Kluyveromyces lactis: one gene and its partner. The protein of the gene in region 1 interacts with the protein of each later gene in a biochemical or structural test. Links are inferred from orthologs where the notes say so. Each region holds a gene or a part of one and is shown on either strand. Other genes may lie near its edges.

Region 1 (2,065 bases):
GGAAACGTCACGTTTCGTAATATACCCAGCAGAACCAAGGGACGCCAACAGCGCCCCCAAACAAACATCACTTAACTTCATTGCTGGTGTTTGCTATATATGCGCCTTGGATAATAAAAGGGGGAATTAGTAACCAGTACCAAGAAATGAACTTTAATTATTAAAGAAAAAAAGACGTCAGCCAAAGTATAACGTCTTCTGTAAAATGAAAAGACCCTTTATATATATACGCTAAGACAATAGCCGCTGTTTTCTTTCCAATTCAATGAGTCAGTTACCTCAAACTTTTAGGAGAGAAGGTACGTGATGTGAAATGCAAGATGGGTAGAAACATTTTCCAGTGTACGTTTAATCGTGGGAAAAAAACCTTTATAATAAGGCAAGTTTCATAGAACTTCCTTTTTTTTTTTTTTTTTTTTCAACGTTTCAAAGTTCCCACATCGCCAACTTTCGACACGGGAAACAAGCACAAGCCTTCATAGAGCGGGGCATTTCGTCAACGATTAAATATAGAAATGAAACGAGGCAAGAAAAAAAAAGAACTGAGGACACACCGTGAATGCAGATGGGAGCGTAACGGGCCAAGCCCCATCGATGACGAGTATGTTTTTTACTCTGTAGAATGTAGAGCAATGTGTAGTTGTGTAGTTGTGTTGGCTACGTTCTCCTCAGGGTCTGTCCTGTGAAGTATATCTGGGTAACTAGGTTACGGACGTGGTTTATTTTGAGTTGTCATTTGAAGCGTTTTGGCAATTTGGTGACCACTAAGTTATCTGGCTCTCCAGTAATACCCGTAATACGCAGTAACTGGGTGAAGAAATTTTGACAACTTTGTTGCCTGAGCACTCCATCGCCGAAAGGGTGATTTGCTGCAATTTTTTTCCTATATCTTATTGAAGAACTGAAAATTATTCAATTTGGTTCAATTCTGTGACGTGATTGATTGATTGACGGTCTTTGCACGCACGCAAGCACGCATGCATGCAAACACACACACACATGGGAAATTAAAGATCGAAGATGAGTAGGATTGTTAAGGAGTATATGGGGTTGCAGAAACGGTTGCAGACCCCTGAATTCTCATGGATCAGTTTTCTTGCACCGGTAGATGATGATGACTTATCCGAATGGGTATGTCGATTCCAAGGCCCGTCAGAATCGCCGTTTGAAGGGTTTGAGTTGGGTTTGAACATTACCATAGATCTGGAAAAGTATCCGATCAGTGGCGGTCCTCGGGTTCTGTTTGAGCCACGTACCGTGGCTCACCCTAACGTGAAGTGGGACACGGGCGAGATTTGCCTAGATCTTTTGAAAGATGCATGGACCCCGATATATACCTTGCTAGATGTTGTTGGAGCTATAAGAGATTTGTTGGCAGACCCTGGTTTGGACTCGCCACTAGATCTAGACATTGCCCAGATATACGATGCTGACTATGAAGCCTACGTGCAGATTGTTAGGTATAGACTTGAGGAGGCGCGGTTGGCACGCGTTTGAGTACGACTTTTACGTAGAAATACACAGCAACATGGCTGGATTTTTCATTTTTCCTTGCAGTGAAATTGAATAGGAATGATTGAAAAAGGATTAAATGATGGAAATGATGCAACTTATATTCCTTTGTACATGTTTTATACACAAATGTATGTTACTTTGACTTAGTACTTTCTTTTTGCCTAGCTTCCCTATTGTTCGCGGGGTGGAGACACTTGATTATCGAAAGAGAAATGGCTAGAAAGATTACATGGAAAGACGTTGGGGTTAAGGACGGGTTCCCATTAATTTCACCTGGGTTCGCTACAGAATCGGGGAATCAGTTACTATTCAGTAGTGGTTGTGTTGGTACAGATCCTGTTACCAATGAACTACCTGAGGATTTGGAACAACAGGCTAGAAATTCCATGATCAATTTGAAGAAAGTGCTTGAAGTATCTGGATCTTCTGTTGATTCGGTCTTGAAAATCTTGCTGTTCGTTTCCGATGGTAGTTACGCTGGTATCGTTAACAAAGTTTTCAAAGAATTCTTCCCTAATCAACCTGCTAGATCGTGCATTGTCGTTGCATT
Region 2 (2,601 bases), about 1.1 Mb from region 1:
CTCGATTATTTTCAAACATACATCACCGTTACCTCGTAGCAAGACTCTGACAGAGGGCTTCAATGTCAAGTAAGCTAAAGCTTCAGTATTAATCTCGATATTTTCGCCATTCGAAAGCGAGTCGATGAAAAGGTTGATGCAAGAGTTAAGAGTTTCCTTTTCTATCTTAGTGAATGACCAGATCTTGATCAAAACCAACGCAGTCAGTACTTTATACTTCTCGACCTTAAATGATTGTTGTAACGTCTTAAGGTAATGCTCTGCAATGAATCTTCTGACTGCTTCGTCAATACAGGAAACAGCCAAGAGACGAAGAGCCCCGTTTACAAGATGTTCATCATCCGCTGAAGAATTCAAATTCCTAGTCAATATGTCCTGGAAATCTGTCGAAAGAAACATGTCTCTACAAACGCCAAGGCAGATAGGGAACACCAAAGACATAGCATCTACAAGCAAACGTAAAGAAACATTGCCAGAATCTTCCTCGGCTTCAATTAACAATTGTTGTAGTATATTCCCACACTTCTGCTCCGTATTATCTGAATGGTTGGACATCAACGATTTCATCGTTACAAGAAGTAATGGCCGTATCTCTTGTATGCTACTTCTTAAAAGTATTCTTCTGCAAAGAAACTCCAATTGACCCCAATCCTTCACATAACCGGCAAGCATCGGCACACACTTCCAGCATCGTGTTTCCTCGCCATTGTTATGTATCTCTGAGGTCCAGTTTTGAATAACGTGCAACAAATCCGTCACGTCCTTCGGAGATGAACATCTTTCTTTCAATACACTTTGAGCATCGGCACTATCACTGCCAACAATTCTATCCCAAACTTTATTCATAGCGTTGATATCTTTATTGAATTACAAAAAGAATAAATTCACAGAATTGAACTATCGGTACCAGCCCAAACAACTGTATGTTAGATCGGGTTTAGTTATCTCTGGTTTCGAACCCTATGATTAATCAAATAAAACTTCATTTCTCCAATTGATCAATTTCAACCATCTAACATCTTCAAAAACGAATAAGAACACAAACTGACGAGAGACAAGCAATGGCACCAGACATGAAGTTCCCATTTGCTGATGCACCTAGTATAGTTCAGGCGCATCAAAAGGATGATACTGTGGAAAACTTGCTGTTACAAAAGATCCAGGATGTACTACGGAAAGTTAAGGGACAACAGTTCACTAACAGGTATGTTAGTGAGATAATGATCCTCAGCAAGTTGATATACTTGTCAATTACAACACTAAGGTATAGGAGAACGCTTGGAGAAGAGTACGTTGATTTGGCGTATGTTGATAGGCGAGGAAAAGGTGTTGCGAGACTCCTGCGAAGGATTGGTTTCGCTATCAGTTATTGTGGGGTACCGTGGATATTATCGAAAGTATTCTACAAGTATAAGCTCAATGAGAGGGGATCTGGTTTCTTGAAAGTATTCAATGGCAAGAGTTTCAGGGACATCTTGGATTCCACTTTGAATTTGCACTTAATTATATTCTACTTGAGCGGACAGTATTATGATATCTCAAAGAGAATATTTGGAATGAGATATGTGGTTGGCCATGAAATGAACAAGAATGAGGTAGAATTCAAGAAGAAGTCATCGCAAAACTACAAGATTCTTGGTTTTATACTTGGTATGCAATTAGCTTCTAAGCTTTTACCGCAGATTGCAGAATACATCGCTGACAGAATTGGAACAGATGATGGGAAGAGCCACAAGAGTTTAAGTGCATTAGCTAAAAAACACACCTCAAAAGATCTTAGCGATCTAGAAGTCCTACCTTTCATCAAAGAGGATTCACGTAAGTGTGTTTTATGTCTTAACTATATGCTGGATCCCAGCGCGACTCCGTGTGGTCACCTTTTCTGCTGGGATTGTATCATGGAATGGACGTTAGAAAGACAGGAGTGTCCATTATGCAGGCAAAGGTGTCCGAGACAGCTGACGATACCTGTTAGATAAAGCTTAGAAGAATATCTAAATGTTTCAGCGAGCTTTCTTGTATTATTAAAACAATCTGCTGTATATAACGGGGTTAAATCTATATGCCAATATGGAACAGTAGTTGTTTTTGTTTGCTCTTTTTCTTACTACCACTAGCTGGTAATGCATTGTCTAACGAATCCAAGTTGATAGAATCGTTGTCGTTTTGAGGCTTACCCCAAGTGGATGGGTTTGGTATGGTAGTCTGTTTCACTGGAGGTGCAACAAATTTTTTCTTAGTAGCTTGTAACTTGGGGAAGCTGGTTGGATTAGGTGATTTGATAGCTGTCACATTCGGTTGTGAATTCACTACAACGGTTGAAGAACCTGGCGGTGATTGATTCTTCTTCGCATAGTTTAAAGAAGTTGATGACGATGAATTGGAAGTCAAACCGCTCCTAATAACTGGAGAGGACGGTGAAGAAGAGCCATTTTTCCGCAAATTAGTATACGAGGCTTTGGAGGAGAATATAGGTTCGGATACAGCTGGTAGAGACGTGAACTTCACGTTCGACCCGCCAACACCAGAAGAACTCTTTTTACCCCATTTACCATAAACTACGTTAACCGAAGATGATGAATCGGCGACGAGAGGTTTGAA

What was found. The genes of interacting proteins can lie anywhere in the genome.
Region 2: the proteins of PEX4 (region 1) and PEX10 form a complex in vitro, tested with the Saccharomyces cerevisiae proteins (2 studies listed by BioGRID). The link is inferred for Kluyveromyces lactis from reciprocal best matches to the Saccharomyces cerevisiae genes PEX4 and PEX10.

What each region holds. Positions count from the first base shown.
Region 1 is NC_006041.1:364,551-366,615, reverse strand, and holds PEX4 (E2 ubiquitin-protein ligase peroxin 4), read left to right. Parts: upstream 1-1,020; coding exon 1,021-1,497; downstream 1,498-2,065. Other genes in the region: KLLA0_E04049g (pepsin-like aspartic protease), read right to left, coding at 1-81; KLLA0_E04005g (RidA family protein), read left to right, coding at 1,728-2,065. UniProt on the Saccharomyces cerevisiae protein: Catalyzes the covalent attachment of ubiquitin to other proteins. Essential for peroxisome biogenesis. Required for UBC4-independent ubiquitination of PEX5.
Region 2 is NC_006041.1:1,480,750-1,483,350, reverse strand, and holds PEX10 (ubiquitin-protein ligase peroxin 10), read left to right. Parts: upstream 1-1,061; coding exon 1,062-1,979; downstream 1,980-2,601. Other genes in the region: SHE4 (She4p), read right to left, coding at 1-846; E3 ubiquitin-protein ligase HEL2, read right to left, coding at 2,059-2,601. UniProt on the Saccharomyces cerevisiae protein: E3 ubiquitin-protein ligase component of a retrotranslocation channel required for peroxisome organization by mediating export of the PEX5 receptor from peroxisomes to the cytosol, thereby promoting PEX5 recycling.